3 linked regions of the Notamacropus eugenii genome follow. The protein of the gene in region 2 purifies or fractionates together with the protein of the main gene of each other region. This does not show direct contact. Links are inferred from orthologs where the notes say so. Each region holds a gene or a part of one and is shown on either strand. Other genes may lie near its edges. The genes, in order: POLR2C, INTS6 and INTS11.

Evidence for each region.
Region 1: the proteins of INTS6 (region 2) and POLR2C purify together in Homo sapiens (affinity purification with mass spectrometry; 3 studies listed by BioGRID and IntAct, with this or other methods). This does not show direct contact. The link is inferred for Notamacropus eugenii from reciprocal best matches to the Homo sapiens genes INTS6 and POLR2C.
Region 3: the proteins of INTS6 (region 2) and INTS11 purify together in Homo sapiens (affinity purification with mass spectrometry; 3 studies listed by BioGRID, with this or other methods). This does not show direct contact. The link is inferred for Notamacropus eugenii from reciprocal best matches to the Homo sapiens genes INTS6 and INTS11.

The regions. Positions count from the first base shown.
Region 1 is NC_092872.1:475,144,320-475,151,949, reverse strand, and holds the start of POLR2C (DNA-directed RNA polymerase II subunit RPB3), read right to left. Parts: upstream 3,035-7,630; 5' UTR 2,936-3,034; coding exon 2,850-2,935; intron 2,701-2,849; coding exon 2,651-2,700; intron 642-2,650; coding exon 573-641; intron 444-572; coding exon 391-443; intron 1-390. UniProt on the Homo sapiens protein: Core component of RNA polymerase II (Pol II), a DNA-dependent RNA polymerase which synthesizes mRNA precursors and many functional non-coding RNAs using the four ribonucleoside triphosphates as substrates.
Region 2 is NC_092876.1:104,426,963-104,434,810, reverse strand, and holds the start of INTS6 (integrator complex subunit 6), read right to left. Parts: upstream 3,052-7,848; 5' UTR 2,515-3,051; coding exon 2,404-2,514; intron 2,080-2,403; coding exon 2,002-2,079; intron 1,361-2,001; coding exon 1,211-1,360; intron 1-1,210. UniProt on the Homo sapiens protein: Component of the integrator complex, a multiprotein complex that terminates RNA polymerase II (Pol II) transcription in the promoter-proximal region of genes.
Region 3 is NC_092876.1:34,734,440-34,741,848, forward strand, and holds the start of INTS11 (integrator complex subunit 11), read right to left. Parts: upstream 3,062-7,409; 5' UTR 2,977-3,061; exon of another isoform or gene 2,828-2,976; intron 1,579-2,827; 5' UTR 1,518-1,578; coding exon 1,490-1,517; intron 1-1,489. Other genes in the region: CPTP (ceramide-1-phosphate transfer protein), read left to right, coding at 5,467-5,588, 6,707-7,229.

The sequences.
Region 1 (7,630 bases), on a different chromosome or scaffold from region 2:
TAAAAACAGAACTAGTATAGCAAAGTATTTTATTTATATTAGCATAAATTGTCAATAATGTTTTCCCCTACATCTTCATCCTTCACTTAGTCCCCTGCCTATTCCTTTATTATTAGATACAGATGTCTTCCCATATATCTAACCAACTCCACAAAGACAAACTTATTGCTTCCTAAAGGATAAACAGAGCAAGATGTTATGACTGTTCACTTTTTCACAGCAATTTGGAATTAAAGAACATGAGATGGTTGAGGGGAAATGGGGAGAGTGGAATGAAAAAATTTGAGAATTACTATGATATAAAACTGGACAAATGAATACAATCTAACAGCTTGAAAGGATGTTATCAAGGAAAATACTCTCCAGTAATCAAACTGAATATAATCTTACCCTGGAGTTTTGCAGCTTGTCTACAATGTCATCACTTGTAAGAGGGATTAATCCTAGAAAACACAAAGCAGTGTTTCAAGTAGGTCAAAAACCTTTCAGAAGTCAGGTGGTTTCTTCTGATAGCTTTCTAAGACACAAAATGGCAGCCCTTCTCCCCTATTCCTCCTGAACTTAACACTTACCTAGTCTGTGGGCAATGAACTCATCATGTAGCACCGAAGAGTTAGCATCGATTTGGACCCAGTCTATGGCTTAAAGGCCAAAAAAGAAAAAAAAAAGAGGCAGGAATGCCATTGAGTCACAGAGCTCACATAGAAGAGGCAGGGAATCAAGCAGGCTTTTGTGCTGGCCCTTCAGAGAGGAAGACCAAAGGCTCCTCATTATATCCCAATATGGGCCATATTGTCATTTGCAAGTCGGGCAGCACTGAAATGAACTGGAGGCTGCCTTTGTTTCAAAGCTCTCTAGAAACTGTCCCTATACTATGCACAGAGCACCATCCAGCCTTATTGAAACCTCTCCTATGTACTCCCTTTACTCTATCTAGAGTGGTCTCCTCGTTATGACCTTCATAATCCATGCTTATATGTCTTCATTTTATTTTGTTCATATTATAAGACCCAGCTCAATTACGACCTCCTGAAAACTAAGACCTATAATGACCTCTTTTATCCAAACCATATTTCATTTAATGCTTGCATTATACATTTTGGCACTTTTTAAGTCAGTCTGTCAAGAAACATGTATTAAGTGCCTATTATATGCCAGACATTGTGCTAAACACTATGAGCTTAACTGTTAAATAAATATGTATATTAACTGTTAAAAGTTTAAGGAAGAGGCTATCATTGTGGACTACAGTGACTAGGGAATACTTAATGGAGAGATTCAGGCTGATTTAGACCTTGAAAGAACAAGATTTGGTTGGCACGGAAGAGAGGTGAAAACTGTAGATCATCCCATTGCAGAGTCACAGATCACTAAAGCTGGGAAGGAACCTGAAAAATCATCTGGTTGAACGCCATTTCATTTTTTTTCATTCTCCACTTAATACTATGTAAATTAATGTTTCTAATTCAAAGTAGGACAGAAAAAGAGGACATGTGAATTTCTAATATGTACAGCCTGCTTTTCTCCTTTTTTCCTGGTTATTCTCCTTGCTTGGGTTTCCTTTTGTTCTTTTCTGTGTATTTCAAAACAGTGTTTCAAAGACAACCTTTTTCTTTCTTTTTGGTAACTGTACTGCCATCCCTCTTTCTCCTTCTTTCACCTTCTTCTTCCAAAGTGGAAAAAACCCCAAATAAACCCTTTTAACAAATAGTGAAATAAAACATCTCTATACGGTTGCTACACACACACACACACACACACACACACACACACACACACACACACACACACACACACACACACACACACACACACACACCCCCCCCCTAGTCTTTCTCCAACTAGTTTGTACTTGAGATACTGGCTGTGTTTTACACTTTCGGGGGGATGAGAAGGTATACCACAGTGCCTAGTCAGAGCCCAACGTTCAATGAATTGTTTCAATGCGTCTGATTAGGCATAGCGTAGACAAAGGAATAAAAACAGTCTGAGAGACTCTGAGCTTGATAAAGCTTTTTTTGATACCTCCAGTCACTACAGAACGCCTCCCACCGAAATCTCTCCCCCTTGCTGTTTTGACAGCTCCCAACTGTATTGCAATCTGGACTGGTTATTTGTATAGTATCCTCATCTCCCTCTTCCAAGGCTTGCCCTGGTAACTTCAAAAGCTCCTAATAACAGTTAACTGACAGCTGGACGGCGACTTTAGGGTTACCGGGCACCCACCGCACGTACGCTATCTGACTTCACCCACCATAAGCAGCCGGCGTCACGCTGTGAGATGAATCCTCCAACAGACCCCGCCCTCCAGGAGCCTGAGACCGAAAAGGGGGTGGAGACAACCAAGGGGGGGCTGCTGTTTTACTCAAGAGTGTGAGGAAAAGGCTGTAAGGACTCTGAGGAGGGCAGAAGAACCCGATATCACGGCGCAGGTAGCATCGAAACGGGACCCCGGTGGGAGCAGGGGGCAGCTGGGAGGAGGAGGGCCAGGGACAGGTCAGTCTGTGAATAAGAGGAGCCGCCCGCGCCCCGGCTTCCACACCGCCTCCAAGTCCCCTCCCTGCGCCTCCGTTTAGCCAGCTGCAAAGCGGGAGAAGGGCGAAGGCGGCGCCCACCCAGGGCTGCCAGGGGGCACGGCAGCCAGGCTTACCTATGATGGGCACCTCGGCGATGAAGACCCTGCGGATGGAATTGGCCACCCTGCGGGGAGGAGGGACCAGAGGCGAATCAGAGGGGGCCCCAGCCCGCTCCTCCCCGGTCCCCGCCCCCCCGGGGCGTCCCCGCCCCGGCCCCTTCCCCAGAGCGCTCTCCCGGGACTCTCCGGGCGCCCCGGGCGGCGAGCTCCTTACGCCAGGTCCGTGTTCTCGATGATGAACTTGACGTTCTCGTCCGTGAGCTCGGTGATCCGCACCGTGGGCTGGTTGGCGTAAGGCATCGCGACCGAGAACGGCCCGCGGCCTCCACGCTCGGCCCTCGGCTCTGCGTGCACCCGACCACCCGCGCGCCGCCGTGACGTCACCGGACGCCGGAGAGAGGCGCCGCCCCTCCCTTCCCTCGCTCCCCCTGGAGCCCACAGTGCCCCCTCGGCCTAGGAGGAGGAACTACAGAAGGCGCAGACGGGATGGAAGTGGGAGGAGAACTCAACCCCGCCACGGAGGTCTTCGATCGAGCAAGGGATTTTACGCGCGCAGTCCGACTGCCTCCTTTCATAGACAGGGAAACTGAGTCACAGAGAGGGGAAGTGCGCAAGGTCACACAGCTGGTAAGGAGCAGTCAGAACTGGGACGCGAATGGCCTTGACGCCGCGCTGCTTCGCTTTCAGATGGCTGGTGACCTCATCACTTCTCACACATCCCAGTTACCGCTCCCGGGCCCAGACATCCAGCCGGAGCCCCCCTGCTGAGCAGCTGGCCCGTGGCGTGGGAAGACTGGAAGGGACCGCTGAAGTCCCTGAGTTCAATCAGTTAATCAGCATGAAGTCAGACATTTCAAAATCGATATCCTATATCGATTATACACGTATACACACATGTGCATACACAGATACATACGTGCACATTTATATGTATATGTCTATACATACACACATATGTATATGTGTGTATGTGTCTGTAATATGTATTTTATATATATAATGTAGGCTTCTCAAACTCAACAGGTCCAAAATAGAACTTTTAATCCTTTTTCCCTCCCAAAATCCACTCTCTTCCAAACTTCCCTAGTACCACTACCACCACCATCACCACCACTACTACTACCTCACCTTCGATCGCTGAATGGGTGTTGCCTCAGACAAACCTGGGAAAACCCACTGCTTCTGGGGCCATCCCCTGGAGTCCTGACCTATGCCTTGTCCCCGCACTCCCAATGACTGGAGGAGAGAGTGGGGCTGATGACTTTGCACAGCTCTGCCTCACTTGAATCAAGTCAAGACATCATCCTCTTGGAGAATGATGAACGACAATAACAATCCTAAACCATAAATATGACAAAATCCCTTTCCTGCTTAATAAACTTCAGTGACCCCTATTACATCTAGGATCAAAATACAAACTCAGAGCACTTCTATACTTTGAGATCTTGGGGGCAGGTGGGATCAGGAATCCTACTTGCTTAGGTTCCAGCTGTTATTGTCTAAAGCCTTTTACAACCAGGCTTTAACCTACCTTTATAGGCTTATTATATATTACTCTTCTTCATGCTTGCATTCAATGATCCAGTTAGGCTGCCCTTGGACTTCATATTTAACATTCCCACTTCTTTCCTTTTGCCTTTTTACAAGATGTCCTCTAGGCCTGGAACTCACCACCTCTACCTCTTAGATCTCTTGCTTCCCTCAAAGGGTACTAACCCTGAAGATCACACAGGTTCTAAGCGGCAGTCAGGATTTGAACCCATCTTTTAACCTGCAAATCCAACACTTTCCACGGCATCGTGAAGCTCCCTCATATACATGTCTCCCCTAATAGATTATAAGCTCCTTTCATTTCACCTTTACATCTCTATTGCTGAGCACTGAGCCTGGCACAAATCAGTCAAATAGCATTTAAGTACTTTTTAGGTGCCAGGCATTATACTAAATGTAGTAAAACAAAGAAGGGCAGAAAACAATCCCTGCTCTCAGAGTTCACAGTGTAATTGGGGGGAGGGGGTATGTGTGTGAAGGATAGCATAAGATAGAATGCAATCACTTGTATATGTATTGGGGTTTGCTTTGGCAAGAAGGACCACTTTATGTGAAACAGGTGAAGGAGAAGATAGTGGCAGAAGGTATTTGAATGATGTGAAATAAGGAAGACAAGAAAGGATTGTTCGTTGTGAATGGTCTCAATTTTTTCAGTGACATGTGAAGCAAAATTCTCAAATGAGAGGACGAGGGAAGGATAAAAATGCTTGGAAAAGCCAGGATTGTATGGGATGATGCAGGATTTATTGGGAGTGTTCTCAGAGAGAAGGCATTAAGAAGGACTGATAAGGGCAAGAGAGAGACTAAGGCTGGATATTTAGAACTGGGAGTGATCTGTCATAGGGATAACTAGAAGCTTTGATTAGTGATGAGGTGACCAGTTATACATGGCAAGACCATTGGGGTTTAAATTCTGCCTGCTACTTACTAGCTGTGTGACTTTGGACACTTCCCTTCTCTGAGACTCAGTTTGCAAGAGCAAAAGGTGAGATTTAATGCTCAATTTATTAACAGAAAGGGGACCACACAGTTACCATTTGCACTGCTGTGTTGTGGTGTTTGGGAGGACATCATTCTTTAAAAACAAACCTTTTCTCTTTAACTTAGAATCTTTTATTTTTTTTGCCTGCCTTGTGGGTTCTATTATGTACTGCTGGTTTTAATGTATCTTTTCATTTTATTATGGTTAATAATCCCACATTAGGATTTTAAAATCTTGCCTTTTTATATCATTTGTTTCTTTCCCATGTTTTTTTCTTTTTTCTTGCAGCTTTTGTGTTGATATTATCCTTTAGAAGGAAAGATTTCCCCTCCCATTAGAAACAAAACACCCTCTGTCCCATACTCTTTATCAAAACAATACAGAAATGACTTGATCTTGCTTTTGTATTATAAGTGCGCTGCAAGACATTTGTAGTAATTATAAATTTTACTACTCTGAAATATGACTTTTTATTTCTAGTCATTTATTGAGCCCCAAACCATTGTGATCTAAAGTTTTCTTATTATATATGTAAATCCAGAATCAACTGACTTTGTGCAACAGAATTAAACTTTTGACTTATTTAAAAAAAAAAAAAAGGTGAGATTTTGGTGAGGCTTCAAGGAAGCCAAGGAAGCTAGGAGGTGAGGTTTGTGGAAGGGTGAAAATGTTTGGAAAAGCCACTGTATTGAGTGGGATAGTGAATGGGTGGTGTTAAAGGATTGCCTTGCTGCTATAAGGGCCCAGTTGAAATTATGTAACGTTAACCTGTAGTGGACCCAGTCAGAATCCTTTCATGATTTTCTCCAGCCTTGTTCAGCAGCTTATGAATAGGAGCACAGGCAGTGGATGGTGGGAATGATTCAAGGATGAGACTTGGTAGGGTAAATGGATGAGAGGATAAAGGTGCAAGGGATCTGAGAGGGCAGCATAGGGTTGAACTGGTTTGTCAAGAGCAAGGGAGTATAGCAGGTGCGGGGGTCATGAGTTGGGAAAGAACTAAAGGATAGAGGAATTGGAGGTCACCGTGAAGACAAAGGAAATTGGGTTTGGAGTTGCAAGGCAGAGATAGGATGACAACAAATTATGATCAGATAAAGGAATTTTATTTGGAGTTCTTGAACATGGATATGGAACACTTGTGATGGCAAGACCAAGGTACGGACCATCTCCATACGTAGCTGGGAGCAGAGGACATAGGTGCTTAATAAATGCTTTTTGATTTAATACTTACCTGGTAGAATTCCCTCTATATGCCCCTTAAGTTGTTGTCCAGCCTCTTCTGTAAAATCATTGGTGATGAAGGACTTAGAATCTTTCATGGCAGTCTGTTCAAATCCTAAACAGCTCTCATTCTCATTTGTCCTTATACTCAGCTAAAAATCTGTCTCTTTTAAGTTTCATTCACAGTTTCCTCCTAGTTCTCTCTAGGATTCACTTGCAGAGATCCTTGACCAGCTGGTGCTACAGCACAATTCAAATGCCACCTCATCTTTGAAGCTTTCCCTGATTCTTCCAGTCTTAGCAATCTTTTTTGGGGGCACTAATTGGCACTTTTAATGAACTCAGTCTTCAATATTTTGTGTTAAAATTATGTATATGAATCTTACTGTCCTGATGGGCTGTGACCTGTATGTGGGAAGGGACCATACCTTATAACCAAACTGGTTATCCTTTTCAGAGTGCTCTGCACATAGGTGATTAATAAATATTGGAATTAGGAACTATGAAGACGCTAGGGCCACACTGGAAGCTGCAGTACCAACCATTTACTTGATCCTCTAGTATTGGCCAGTCCCTTAAGGCCATTGGGGGCTCTAAAATGTCCCATAGGCACACAGAACTCTTTTCCCATAATAAATTCCTTTTTGACAAACCTAAATTTTATTTTTTTTAACCAACAAATATTTCTTATTGTTTATGGTATGTGTAAGGCTCAGGGGTGGGCCTAGGCCCATATTGTGGAGATATATAAAGAAACATACAACATAAGTCTTAATATGCTTTTAAACTTTAGGGATGGGGAAGATGCTGCTGTCAATAACAAAGAGTCCAGAAGAGCATCCGAAGTTTAGCACTCAAAAGGACCTTAGGGATCATCATCTAGTCGAACTCCTTCATTTTCCAGATGTTAAAACTGAGGCCAAATGAGGTTATTTGCCCATAAATACACAGGTAGTAACATAAGACGTGGGACTGGAACCCAAGTCTTTTTGATTCCAAATTCAACACAATACACCATGCCACGCTGAGAGGCCGAAAGAAAAGGGAGAATTTGGTTTTATACACAGATTCATTGAGCTTTTAGTGTTGAAAGGGACCTCAGAGATCATCTATTCCAACCCCCTCATTTTATAGACAAAACAGGCCCAGAGTAGAGAAGTAACTTGTCTAAAGTCACAGTTTGATTTTGAAGTGTCTTAAGGCACAAAGGTACAGTTGTCCAGCTGGCAGTTAAAAAT
Region 2 (7,848 bases):
TGAAACAGTATATTACATTGAAGGCTATGTTCTCAAAATTCATTTTGAGGTTGATCTTTCCAATAATTAGCACAGCAGCTTTGTAAGAACTGCATATCACTTTTCCCTACGGGGATACCAAAAAAAATCTTATCTCAACTGAATTCAGGTATGCTCCTTCTCCTAGAGTAAATTTAGTTTGTAAGAAGCAAAAGTGGGAGAGAACAGTCCTACTAACTGGTAGTCATGGTTCAAGGGAGCTGAGTGGAGCAAAGGCAGATATTTAACTATAACAGATCCCTGTGGTAGGAGTGGAATGTACTTCCAGGTAACAACTGAACCTCTTGGGTCTCAGGCAGATCTTTTATTTCTCAGGCCAACAGTCTCACGGAATGTTTTAATGGAGCAACTTGATTACTCCATATTGAACCATCACGCGGATTAGAGAATGATGTTGCCAGGCTCCAAAAGAGGTCTTGTCTGATCCTCAAATTGATGAGCAGCAGCTGTAATACAGGGACTTAGGGGGAAAGGGTTCTTCCATAGCTTCCAGAGAAACCCAAGGGGTTGAATAAAAAAAAAAAAAGCTCTTAGGAAAGAGCAAAAACTTTTTCTGTCCTCTGGACCTAACATTTTTAGTTCATTAACAGCAGTAGAAGCCAATTCTGGATCCTTCAAAAAGAAGTTCAGAAATCCTAGTGTATTCAAGAGGTTGAAGTCTGCACTTAGGTGAGAGTGTACTTTTCTTACCCTTCAGACAAGAAACATACAAGGAATGGATAAGCACTTGTGCAGCAGATGGATTTCCCTGTTTCTTTATTGACTAGCAGAATGAAGCAAGCCCCTAAGCCCCTACTAATGCCTGTGCCTCAAAGTCAGCCAACAGTCGTACGTATGAGCACAGTCGCACCATAGTAAGCAGGTGACAGTAGGACATAACACAGATTTCCCTGCTCTTAATCACAAATTAATGTCAGTATTCTTCAACTGTACTAGGGCCATAAAATGTCAGCGTCTTAAATAAGGAAGTGAAGTTCAGAAAACAAAGGCTTTTTCACGAATAACATGAGGGGACAGAACTGTCCCTAATGTGTGCATGTCTTCTCGAGTTAAATCTGCTTTGAGAGGAGGTACATTTGAAAATGTCATATTATGGAAAGTTTGTGAACTGGAACGGTCTCTTCAGAAAAAAGGAAAATGAACTAGTTTCCCACTTGAATATTCAACCTACCTGCCCATAGTTGTCTATGCCAGTTACTAATCTATTTAAATTTAACAAATCAAAAGCTGTCCTTAGGGATTGGCCAAGAGTCGTAAGTCCTTCAGCCTGAAGGTTTTTCAGTTCATTCATAAACGTGGCGTGGTTTTCTTTCCATCCAGCCTGCAAAGAGAAATGCACAATGGTTTATTTCCCCCCCACGACGGGCCTCGGGGCGCTCCTGGGGCCGCTGCCCGGGGCCCCCGCGGGGCGCGCCTGGGGGCGCGGCGGCACCACGTCCGGCGCGGGCGGCGGGCGGCTCGGCCGCGGCTCCGCTCCCGCGGGCTCCGCTCCCACGGGCTCCGCTCCCGCCAGCCGCGCGAGCCCCGAGCTCCCTTTAAAGCCAAACTTGAGCCCGAGTTGCCGCCGCCGCCGCTGTCACTTCGCTAACTTGAACACACATCCCCCACAGTGCCTTGCTGCCGCCGCCGCTCGCAGCACACGGGGGGAAATGTCGGCCATGTTGATAGCAGCGCCGCCGCCGCGGGCGGCCGCTCCGGCGGCGGGCAGGAGGTCGCGGCGCGGCCGCTCCTCTTCTCCCGGCCCCACGAGCATCGCGGGCGGGGGCGGGGGGCCGAGAGACGGGGAGAAAAGACGCCGGGGAGCGGGCCCGAGGCCGCGGCGGGGGGGAGGGGAGCATAATGAAGGGTGAATGGGGCGGGGGGAGGGGAGCAGGGCGAGAGAGGAAGGAATAAGGAAGGCAAGGCTGGGCTAGGCGAGCGGGGGAAGGCGAGGGCGAAGCGGGGCCGGGCGGGGGCCCTTACCTTGATAGCGTAGGGAGGCTCTTCGAAGGTGACCAGCATATACCTGTCTCCTCGGCTGGCCGGGTCCCGGGCACGGAGCTGCGAGGGAGCGGGAGAGGGGGGAGAGAGAACAGGGCGGGCGGGGGAGCACACAGCCCGGGTTACGAGGCATCCCCGCGGGCGGACCGAGCCCCCCCGCTCCCCACCGTGCAGCACACACGCAGGGCCCCCCCCCACCCTCCGGAGCCCCCCGCCCGACCCCAGCGCCCGCCCGCCCGCGGGGGTGGCGGGAGGGGGGGTCCCCACGCCGGGCTGTTCCCGCAGCCGGGTCTCCCCCACCCCCTGGCCACCCCCCCACCCCTGATCGTCCGCTCCCCGGGTCCACCCCGGCCGTGTTCGCCAGCTGGCTCGGTCAGTCGGTACCTTCATGAAGGTCTCTACCGCGCCTTTGGCCGTGTCCAGGTAGGTGGTGCCCAGATGGCTGCGCTGGTTCATAGAGGCGGACGTGTCTATCAGGAACAGTAAGATGGGCATAGTGCTGGCCGGGGACACCGGGGCCCGAGGTGGTGGAGGAAGAGGAGATGGTGGTGGTGGTGGTGGAGCTGGTGGAGGAGGTGGAGGCGGCGGCCGCCGCTACGTGGGGCGGGGGAGCGCGGCCCCCGGGAGGAAAACACGGTCGGGGGCTCTCCTCCGGCTGAGGGGAGTTTCTCCCCGGATAGTTGAGAGGAAACTCCCCTCGCCCCTGGCCACCCCAGCAGACCCCCACCTCCTCCTTCTGCCTGCCGGCTGGGCCGGACGCCCGGCCGTCTGTCTGTCCGCCTGCCTGACTGTCCGTCCGTCCGTCCACCCGCCTCGGGGGTCCCGTCCCCGCTCCCGGCCCCTATGTGTGTCCCAGCGGGAGACGGGCCTGGCTCCCCACCCCACCCCCGGCGCAGGGAGTGGGGACTCGGGAGCTGGCGAAGAGGGGGTTGGGCTGAGGGGGGGAATTGGCCCTGGGGCTGTTGGGAGAAGTTTCAGGGACTCCCCCCGCTCCCCGGCGGTGTCACCACTTTCTCGGCCCCTCTCGCTACTGAAGCGCTTTTCTCTCTCACACTCCGGTTTTAACTCGGGCAGGGGCTCCTCGGGCTCCGCCCCCCTGACACGTCCCCGTGCCATGTGACACGCCGCCCCGCTCTTCCATAGGCTGAACACTGTTCCCTCATTAGAATATTCAAACAGCAGAGGGGCGGGGGAAGTGGGACGGTCGGCTCGGGGGACAGTTATGGAGCACGCGCGGAGGCGAGGCGCCCGGGAGCGCGCGAGAGCTAGCGAGAGAGCAAGCGGGCTGGTGGGCAGGCGCGGAGGCGGGCCCCGGGCAGGCTCCGGGAAGGGGCGGAGAGGGGCGGCCGGGTGGGGGAGGGGAGGCACGCCGGGGCTGGCCGGGGCTGTGAGCCTGCGCGGCGGGGCCAGGCGGCCTCTCTCCTTGGCTGTTGGAGGTGATGGGGGTCGGGGGGAAGATGGAGGTTGGGCCGAGCCTCCCTCGCCCCCTCCCCCTTCTCCGAGGTGACTGAGAGCAGCCCGCGGCCTGGGAGGCGGGTGATGAGGGCGGGGAGTGGAGCGGGGCAGGCACTCAGGGAAGGGAGGCAGGGCCGCTGCCGCCGCCGCTGTCGCGGGAGGAGTCAGCTCCCTAGGGCCCCAGCGGCAGGCGGATCCCGGGCCTGGGGGAGGGGATCGCGGGGCTTGTTTGTGATCAGCCATCAGTCTCCGCCCCGAGCCCTGCTCTTTCTCTTCAGGCGCCCCGTGCCCGTCGAGGGGGCCCGACACCCGGATGGAGCCGGCACTTGGCCCGGCGTCGGGGAGCCGGCCCGGGCGAGGCGGGGCCGGGCCTCCTCGGGAAGGTTTTCGGGGGCTGACCCCCGGGGCCTCCCCCTATTGTGTGTGGCAAACCCCGCTGCGGGGAGTGGTGCGGAGCCCGAGAGCAGCAGGGTGGGGGAGGCGCGCTCCTCATGGCCGAACGAGCTCCCCTGCACGCCCGCCCTTGGCGCGGCGGGGCCTTGTTTACCTGCGCGGGCCTGCCTCGGGGCCCCCCGGGCACGGCCGGGCCCTGACCGGCCTGGCCCCAGCCCCTCGTACCGAAATGGAACCTGAACGCTGGCTGTCGACAAACAGCAAAGACCTTTTTCCCCGCAGTATCACACGGGTTCGGTTAAGATTTCAGCCTCATGTTTGTGGCACCTCCTGTTTTTGTTAAGTAGAAGCTTTAGGACGTAAACTTTCTTCCTGTTGTAAGATTTGGACCTCAACCATTTTGTCAGTTTACAGTGGCGCTCCTAAGCCTAGGCACTGCGCCATTGTGCCTGTGAACTACACCAAGCTGAAGGCAAAAGTAGCCTTTCCCTCCAGGACCTGGTGGTGTAGTGGAGAAGATGAGACCTATTGTAGAAATGAGTGGGGTCGTCAATACAAAGGAGGGGTTCGGTCCGGGAGACCGTTTCTCCAGGGTTACATCTGGGAAAGCTTGCTGGCAGAGATGGTTCTGACCCGGGTCTTGAAGGGTGTCATGGATGGGCCTGAGATAGAATTAGTCTCAGACGTGAGCAAAAGCATTCCTAGTTAGGAAAGTATTGAATGAGGTTAGGGAATGGCAAGAAATTCAACTTTTGTTGGAATGGTAATGGCTCACTTATATAGTTCGAGAGTTCCAAGTCGCTTTCTTCTCGACCCGGTGCAGAATGTGGGCAGTGTGGAGAGCATTCTGAGAAATGACTCAAAATTAAATGTAGGGGATAAGGGCCTCTTCATCCTGTGAGCATAGAATCCAGAATCCAGATTCTAGAGTTGGGATTCATAGAAGCCACATGTCTTATTGCTTCCTTGCCCCTCCTGTCTTAAAACCTACAGTGTTAAGAGCTAAGAACTGGAAATACTCAAAACAGGCAAAAAAAGTCAGGGCATTGGTAAAGAAAGTCGGAGTGAACAAGGCATCAGCATAATGGGCAGCCCAGGCAAAGATGGGTTTCGGTACTCTCTCCGTTTCAGAATCACTTTCCCTCCTCTTCCTCCTTCAGTGTTCCAGGCCCATTCTCATCTAGCCTTTATCCCATTCTTAATCTCAGCCTTGTGTCAATGAACTCTTGCTGATAATACCTTAAGGAGGGGTGGGGGATTTGAGGGAATGCAGAAGAGAAGCTTATGACAAGGTGACATGTACATCTTTTTTTTGACATGTGCTTCTTAAAAGGTTCAGATTTGGAGAAGTTTTAGAACCAGTGGAATGAGACTATAATAGTGGAATGACAAGTAGTGAGGTTTTGAGATATATCCCCTTTCCTGGTCACAATGACTAAGGTTTTAGAGAAAAGCCAAGTAGTATCTGATGTAAGAGCCTACCCCCTAAAACTGATAAGGGCTAGTTAAAAGTAGCCTAGTTATTACTAGGAGTAAATAGCAACTTGGCCTAGTACTTCTTTAAAAACTTGCTGATCCTTGGTTTAAATAATGTTCCCAATTATGGAAATAAAATTAGCTAGAGTTAGGATCTAATGAATTAGACTTACCTGCAATGGCCCACAAGAGCCATTATAAATTACCATAAGTCAATCAAGTAATGAACTGGAATATACATAGGTGCTAAGATCTGAGTTTGTGGCATTTGAATATGACATCAGAATCATAGAACCTCAAAGATGAAAGGGACCCCAAGGCCAGTTAATTCAACCCACACCTGATTGAGAAACCCTGTCTACAAAATTCTCAACCAGTAGTCTTCTAGCTTTTGCTTGAGAGAAAATTCACTACCTCATGAGGTAATCTGTTCTACTTTGAGGTAGCTCTTAAGGCTAGGAAGTTTTTTTTAAAGGGACCCAAGATCTGCCTTATGAAATTCTCACTGGGCCTAGTTCATCCCTCTGAGGCAAAAAACAAATCTAATCCTTTTTAATTAAAAAAAAAAAATCTGACCACAAAAAAAATTTTTATACACAGTACACAAATGGGGGGATTTATAAGAAACCATGACTCTTCTGCTTGCTTTTTTAAAAAAACTTGTCATTTTAAATTTTCAAAACTTCCCTTATCTCTACTTCTCAACTCCTTTCTGTTCTCTACATTTAAAAATGTTACAAGGGCCCTTTTTTTGGCATCACTATTGCTAAACCTCTATCCCCACGAGTTTCCTGCAGCCATTACCCCATTGTCAGATAAATAAAAGGAGAAAGAAAAGAAATTGTAACCAATAAACATAGTGAAGCAAAACAAATCTATGCACTGTCTATTTAAAAAAAAAAAAAAGTCTTTCTGTACTTTGAGTCTATCACCTGCAGGCAAGTAGGTAACATGTTCCATTTTAGGTCTTCTGGAGACATGGCTGTTCACTGCATTGAACGGAGTTCTTAAGTCTTGCAAAGTTGTATTCCTTTGTAGTGTCTGGCCTTGTTTAGATTGTTCTGGTTCTTCTCACTTCACTGTGCACCCAGGAATCTCTGAGACTATTATTCCTTGTATATTTTCTTATAGAATGCTAATCGTCCATTAAATTCATATACCACAGTTTGTTCAGGCATTCCTCAGTTATGTAAAGGAAATCTAAGACAAATGTATCAACCTTGTGGCCTGTGGGCTGCAAGTGGCTGCACAACTCCCAAGCTGCCTGAACCAGATTAAAATATAATTGAGAAATGTTTAACAAAATAAAAATGTAATACAACAGAGTTAATGTTAATGGGGGAGGGCTAGTTAGTATATGACCAGCAGGGAACCCTTTCTATTTTAGTTTTATACTACTGATCTGAGGCAACCTCTTAGAGTCTATTTCTTTGCTTTCCTTCACAAATGAGGAGTTTGTTCTGCTTTTGACTATTGCTTCTCCAATATTAACCTTTCCCAAACACCCTTTCTCTATCCCTGCTTGTTTGTTGAGTTTAATGGTTTCTACACCAAGCCTTGTGAGTGTGTATTCAGTCCTCTTTTTTTCCAGTTAAATGAGGTTCATCTGATGACCACTGCCCTCACTTTTTCTATTTACACCCCTTCTTCCTTGTTCCTCTGATGTTTTTCTTCTTTTACTTCCTTTCCCTTTCTCCTCTTAGAACACTCAAAACAAAATCAATCCACTCCCAGGATGACTTTTTTGTCATTTAACTGTCTTAATCTGTTTTAAAGACATTGATGTTCTGAAGGTACACTTGTTTTCATTGCCCCTATCAAAATGTTAACACTACATAGTCGTATGGATCCTTCCAATTGCTTGACTAAATTTCCTTTGGAGGTTTTTTTGGACTTAGTTTGTATTTCGAAGTTCCTATTCAGCTCTGATCTTTTCATCAGAAATGCTTGTAAAGTCCTCTTCCATTAAAAGTGTGGGTGGTTTTTTTGTGGGGTTTTTTTATTGGTCCGTAGGATACTTGGTGTTACAGAGTAAGTTCTTTGTCATGAGCCTGTCTCGTTTTTTGGAATATCATATTCCAGGATTTCTCATTTTATAGTAGAAGCTTCTTGATTCTGTGTGAATCCTAACTATGGTTCCTTGGTATTTAAACTGCTTATTTCTGGATGCCTGCAGTATTTTTTTCCCAAACCCTTTGCCTTGTGTCCTCCAATAATGTGAAATCACATCTTCTTACACATGTATAGTGTAGCATATAGCACCAACAGGCTTGCCTTCAGGGAGCTACCCCACCTGCAATAAGTAGAGATATTGTAGATATATTAAAAGTAACATGCAATTTGAGCTTGAGACCACTGGAGTAGAAGACCTCTAGGACGCCAGGACTACAGATGTAGAGGCTGGAAGAGACATCATGTCTTTCAGATATGGAAACTGAGGCCTAGGGAGATGAAGTGCTCAAGCACACTCAGGTAGTAAGAATCAAAGATAATATTTGAACTCAG
Region 3 (7,409 bases), about 70 Mb from region 2:
TGAGAGTGAGCAGGTGAAGACTGGCAAGGTTCCTTTCTTCCAGAACAATGTCCTCTCCCTCAATGGTCACAGGACAAGGTGTTTAAAACCACCACCAGCTAAGTGAATGACTACAGATAGTCTAACACTGTGACTTTGTCTGCCCCCTTTTCCGCCACTGTCACTAACACCACCAGATGCCAAAGGGGACCCCACAAGGCCAGGGGCTCCTGGACGTTTTCCTGCCAGACTGTGAGTTCTACCAGGGTCTCATCTGGACTCCATATCTCCCCCAGCACCTAAGCCAGATCTCAGATTCACAAATCTTCGGGAAAGGAAGAAGACTGCATGACTACTGATGAATGGAAACTGAGAAAAAGTCCAGAGCACAGCATCTTCCTATTCAAAGGCTGAAGACTCCATATTAGTAACATCTGGAGGGACCTAAGAGGCCAAAGACCTATAAGTATCAACTTTTAAGATGCTCAACAACCCAGAGAATCAGCCTAGCAACGTTTCTGTTTACAGGATTGTGTCTCAGAGAAGTCCCACGGTAGGTCTCCACTCTACACCAAAAACACCCCTGAACCTTTAAATTGCACATTCCAGGCCACTCTGGAAACTTGGTTGTGAGCACCCCCTGGTGGTAGGCTATGGGACCCAAACCATATCAACTCCTGTTACTCTGCATGGGGTCGCCTCTCCCAAAGACAGACTGTGATGCTGTTACTGAGGATCTGGACTATGCTCTTGCCTCCTCCTGAAAGAACAGGGAATGAGCTCCTACTTCATGATGAGTGACACATCCATTGCCCCCCACAAGCCCTCTGCTCCAGAGAAACCAGAACAGAACTTGCTACCTCCCTTCCCCCTATTCTCCAGCCCATCCCCCTGCTCTAGAACATAGTCCCCCATTCTCCTGACCTGATATAGCCTCCCCACCTTCTCAACAAATCCAGCCCACCCTTCAATTCCCAACTCACACCTTACTACCTCCTCTAGGAAGACTTCTCTGATTCTTCCGGCTCCCAACCATCCCTCTCTCTTTCAAATAATCTGTCCTAAAATGTTTGACCCCCAAAATAAATTCTCTTTCACTCTCCTACATACGTTTAGGCTAATTTCTCACAATACCAACTGTGTCTCTCCTGAGGGATGGAGAATTCCTTTTTACCATGAACCAAAGGAAAATATTCAGAAAGAGAACCTGCTGCCTATAACACTGCCCACTCAAGAAAAGCATCCATGGGACTCTGTGTAACTGTACCACACATGGCTCCTCCATCCCACCCCCCATCAGTGGGCATGGCAAAGTGCTCGGTTCATACTGATATGAATCATACTGATGGGAACAGAGCACAAAATAAAGAGCTAAGCTGTGATTGATGTATTCTCTTACAGAGAATATTACAGCTTTTAAGTTCATCACCATAACATTTTGTTGACCTGATGGTATTTTCACCAGAAAAACTTTTTTTTTTTTAAATCAAACTTGCTTCTTTTAACTTACCCAAGGGAGTGACTTTAATCTCTGGCATCTTGAGTGGCCAAGTTCTCAGTACTTCATCAGGCTAGATCCAAGACACCATAGAGCAGTACCTACAAAGCACGGGTTTTTGAGATCACACAGGTACCGTTGGTCTGGAAGTCATAATTTCTAAAAGGAAATGGGCCAACCCAGAAGGCTGTAACTTTTTACAGTGATTATGAATAGGTGGTGAAAAAGGGACACCACCATCCCTAAAACTGGGCAAGGTTTCCTCAGCTCTGGTTACTGGCTCTACGCCAAAGCAGTGGTGGTCTAAGTCTTACCCTACTGTGACACAACAGTATACTAGACAGAGGTCTCTGGGGGGGGAGAGCATGCTAGGAAACTAAGGTGATAATGACACTCTCACTGTCTTAATCTGGACTTGGGTCAGGAGGCCTGAGTTCTAGATTCTAAATCACATGACCCTTCTTCACCTGTAAAATGGGATCATCAAAATTGTACTGCACAGCTACCTTGGAGAATTTATAGAGGGAAGGAACCTTAGAAATTATCTAGCCCACACCCCTTCATTTTAGAGAAGGGGAAATTAAGGGCCGTGGGAGTTAAATAACTCACCCACAGTCACACAGATAAGCAGTAACAGAGCACAAGCCTTCTGAGTCTGGCATAGGCTGGACCAGATGACTTCTAGAGACCCTTCCAACTCTTAGAACCTAATTCCAAATCCAGTGTTCTTACCTATACATTACACTGCCTCTTTACATGGCTGTTGTAAGGGAAGCATTTTGTAAACTGTTGGAGCTACAAGTGTTTTTCTGCTTCCAAAATCAATTTGTAAAAAAATTGAATAGCCATCCCTTAGCCCAGTTGCTCCTGCCAGGCTGTGGCTTAGGAGTATCAGCTGCAAAAGCTACTTCCCAATCCTACATAAAGTAAGGTGGTATTATACAAAGCACAAGATTGGAGGCAAGGGGCCCAGGTGTGAATCTTGGCTCTGCTACTTAGCACTTGTGTGACTCCAGGCAAGTCGTTCTCTGAGCCAGGAGATGGGTCTCTAATCCCTGCGCTGACCCTGACCCCTGACCCCTGACCTGGAGCAAGTTCCACAATCTCTCGGGGACTCAGTTTCCCCTCTTGTAAAGTGGGGCAAGAAGACGAGGAGAGGCGAGCCCGTCTAAGGTCCCTTCTAGCCCCCGAAGGGCCTCCCCCTGGGCTCCCCTGCATCCCCACACCGTGAGCCCAGGCCGGCTCTGTCGGGAGACCCCAAGGCCGAGCGCGGGCTCCCCGTCCAGGAGGCGCCCCACCCCCAAACCCAGCCCTGCGGGGCAGCTGCTCGCCCGCGGTGACGTCACTCGCCCGCATCCCGGCGGACGCGCTCACGGCCGCCCACCCGAGGGGGGCCGGTCCTGAGCAGCAGGCCGCTGGGAGAAGCGGGCAGGTTGAAGAGGGAGACTCCCAGACTCCCTCGAAGGTCGGCAGGGCCCCCGCTGCTTCCCTCTCCCCACCTCAGCCCTCCACGAGGCAAGCCGCGCAGGCTTCCGTACTCCCAGCCAGTCCCGAGGCACTGCGCCTGCGCGGGGGGCGGGGCCAGCGGCGAGGGCCGGAAGGCACCCCGCAGGCGCAACCCCGGCAGCCTATGAGCGGCCTTCCTGCGCCCGGGACCTGCCCTCCTGGGCCGGCCCTCCCTGCCGGCCTTCCATTGGATTCTGTCCCAGTCAATCAAGCAGGGGCCAGGACTGGGGGGCGGGTCTTGGCTGTGATTGGAGGGGACTGAAGACAGGCCCCCAAGAATCTGCATTCAATGGTAACGCCGGTGAGTAAGGTGCAGGTGAGGGCGAAGGGGTGGGCCCGGGGGGGCCGGGGATCGGGGAGCTGTAAACGGACGTCGGGGGTGCTGGGGCGTGGGATGGGGGCGGTGGGGTCAAGGGTCATGAGTACGCCCTGGGGTCCCCCGGCGCTGCGGGGGAGGGGACCCCGGTGTCCGGGTCACGGTCCGGGGGCACCCGGGGCTCGGGTCCTGCCCTGACCGCCCCCCCCCCCCCCGCCTCACTCTCTGCGGGACCTCCGGGCCTCAGTTTCCCCATCTGTCAAATAGAGCGGGTGGGACTCCTCCTTTCCTGACTTTGAAATCGAAGGGCATAGACTTTAATCTTGAGAACTGCATTTAAATTGTACTTATGCTGAATATATATTGTATATAACCTATGTATGTACCGTATATACAGTATATATGTATGTACTATATATGTGTAGATGTATTCTGTGTATGCTGATATGCCTGTATGGTTCCTTCTGTAATGTGGGTATTTTATACACAGGAGGAAGGGGTCCGTGGGCCTGATTTTCTGCTATTCTTGTGTTTTCTTTTCAAGGATGTGAGTCCAGGACCCAAAGGCAGTGACAGAAGAACCAGGAGTAAGACCCTGAGATCCCCTCCCCTTTGACCTTCCCCATCTGACCCAGGTATGTATGGCACTGCTGTATCGCTGTGGTTGGGTTGGATTCCTTCCGTGGGGGGGACAGGGGGACTTTCTCCAGGTTGCTCTGTGCTGAGTCAGACTCTGAAATTTATTTTTGCCTGTGGTAAGTGTTCAATAGACACGCTAGATGAGTGGAATGGGAGCCGGGGCCAGCATGCTGAACCCCGGACCGCTGCCGTCTAAGAGCCTTCGGTTCTGCCAAAAGTAGAACTCCTTGGAGAGTGTTGAGACTCTTTGTTTCTTTGGCTGCTCTTACTCAATCCCTCCCCGCCCCCTTCCTTCTTCCTGCTCCAATCTTCATCTCTGACCTTGAAGCTCTGATAAATAGTTTATGGCAGAGTATAAACATAGCAGAGTCAGAGTGATGTCTGATGGGAGTACTGGCCTTACTTTGAGAAGTTGAGCAGGCCCATCCATCCTCAGTTTGTAACCTCAGCTGTTCAGCCTGCTCAAAACAGTTTAGTTTCCTCTTTTCTCAGTATTATATAGCAGACTGTGGGGCCCAAAATGATTAAAAAGTCCTAACAGCAATTTCCTGCTTGCTGCTGGTTTCATTCTGTGTCATGAGAAAGCACAGGGCTATTTAAACAACAAATTGATATGTCGTTGACCGATAGACCATCTGAGCTGGAAGAGACTTTAGTTAATAGAATGTCAGAGTTGGAAGTTACCTTAACGGAACATCTCATGCCACTCTTTCACTTTACAAATAAGGAAACTGAGATCCAGAGGGAGGAAGCAATCAACAACTAAGAACAAATGAGGTATCCTAACTCCTAGAATCATGATCTTCCATTGGCCACCCTCAGTCGTCTTCAAATCCTGGGGTCCTCAACTCTTCAATCCCCATTCCTAAATCTGATCCCATTGTTGATTTTAATCATTCGGGCAGCCATTGAGGGTCATACTAAGTGCCAGCTCTGGGTTCAGGACCACACTGGGTGCACAGGGGCATACAAAAATATAAGATGCCATCTTCCTTTAAAGAGCCCCTAGTCTGGGGACATGAGAGCCACCCACAGCCAACAACCTGGAATGTTGTAAGCAGATCTTAGATCTGTGGAAGGCTTACAGCCATAGCATGGATGGTAGCCTCCCTCCTCTCCTTCCTGCCTTCACTCATCTGAATAATTCTATTCTGTCTCCTGCTTTGCCTGGGAAATCGGCTTGGGGTCCAGGATGGAAATATGGGACAGATAAAGAATCCAGGGCCTGGGAGATTCCAGGGTAGAACCCACCTTCCAAGTTAGCCTCTCCCATCTCAAACCTGTCCAGTCACTGACTACTGGCAGATGTGTAGACTCAGTGAGTAGGCTGTGTTTGCCAAGGTTTCTTGGGAGCCCAACTCTGCTAGAATAGGGCATTTCTATCCTGCAGCAACTTGGGTGAGTAGGAGCAAGTGTTAAGAAAGACACCCCATTACATCAGGTCTGTCATCCCAGCTGGTCCTCCAAAGCAGACACGCACCACCTGATTCTCTGGGGACCTTCTGTGTGTTTCAGGTTGTGGTGGACTATGGCTGACGAACAGGCCGAATTTAACCTGAAGGTCGTGCTGGTTGGTTTTAAGCAATGCCTCAATGAGAATGAGGAGGTCCTCATGGACCCTTATATTACCAGTTGGAAAGGGCTTGTCAGGTGAGTGTGCAGGGGCCACTCTGTGGATCCCCAGGAGGGTTCCTACATGATACATCAGGCCTGGAGTCAGGAAGACATGAGTTCAAATGCAGCCTCAGGCACTTACTCTGGCTGTGTGATCATGGACAACTCACTTAATCTGTGTGCCTCTGTTTCCTCATCTGCAGAATGGGTATAGTAATAGCACCTACCTCCCAAAGTTGTTGGGTGGAACAGATGAAATGATCATTGTCAAGTGCTTAGTCCTGTGCCAGGCACAATGTTATAGAAATGTGAGCTCACGTCATCCTCATCGATGTTATCATCACCATGACCATTATTCTCCCTTTTATTTGAGGAGAGTGCACATGAATGTCCAGCAACTTGTGGGAGAGGGCGGGACCAGACATTGTGGAAGGGCAGGCTGTGCTGGAGCAGCAGACAACTTGTGTGTGAGGAGGCCCTGAGCACATGGAGGGGGGGATCTGCGTGTGATGGGGGTGGGCACAGGGCCACACATGAATGGAACAGGACTTGCTAGGCAGCAGTTTCACATTCCTTAAGTCCTCATTCCTTACAAGCATTTTACAAACACCAGTGACTGGATTCTCCCATTGGCCCAAGAGGCCTGACATTTAGACCTTCATGCAGAGGCCCCACGATGTGCCCTCCTGGCACATTAGCCACCCGAGGGGTATGGTTGGGGCAACAAGGATTGATACACGATCTGCAAAGAGGAGATGTCACCCTGTTGTCCCAGCAATACCCTCTCTGGCCCCCAAGCAGTCACTGGGAAAGGGAAGCAGCTGCAAGTTTTGATTTTAGAAATAGCGTGTTGCTGGAGAACTTAAATGACCTGTGTCCCTCCTAGAGATCCCATCATTGGTGTTGGTGATCCACCCTCTGAGAACCAGAATACCTGGCTTTGCTTCAGCCCATTCCCTCCCTGATTGCTTCAGCTGATTCATGTTTCTGTAGCAATCTGGCCCAGGGAAATCTCCCTGGATCATACCTTTGGCCTCATTACTCCCACCACGGTGGGATGTGGCATCTTTCCCCATTTGGGGGCCCCCTTTCAGAGAGTTACCACAGCAGTCTCCCCCAGATCAATGATACTTTGTTTGGTCATGAAAATGTAGGTTCCTGAACAACCTTGGCACCATCTTCTCCTTCATCTCCAAGGATGTGATGACCAAAATCCAGATCATGGAGAGGTTTCGAAGCAGTGATCAGAAGGAAAACTACTCTAGCCTTCAATCCATGGTGCAATACGAGATCGACAACAAACTGGTGGACCTCCAGAAGCGCTCTGAGCACCCCGAGTCTGGCTGTCGCACCATCCTGCGCCTGCACCGGGCCCTGCACTGGCTGCAGATGTTCCTGGAGGGACTCAGGACAAGTCAGGAGGACTGCAAGACCTCAGTCCTCTGCACAGACTCCTACAATGCCACCCTGGCCTCCTACCACCCCTGGCTCATCCGCAAAGCTGTGACCATGGCATTCTGCACATTGCCCAGCCGCAAAGCCTTCCTAGAGACCATGAATGTGGGTCCCCCCGAGGAGGCTGTGGAGATGCTGAATGAAGCCATGCCCTTCATTGGTCAGGTCTACCAGATCACCCAGAAACTCTTTGAGGAGCACACCCTGCTGGACCTTCCATAGCTGAGGGGAGGCCAGGCCCCAAGGTGACTCTCCTACCTTGGATACTAGATAGAGAAGATACAACCAAAACCTGTTATCCAGCACTCACTGATGCTTCAGGCTCTACTCAGAACTCCCTTGGTTTCTCTTTCCCTACCTTCCACCAAGCTTGGACTTGGTTGTCACTTGCTGGGAATAGGT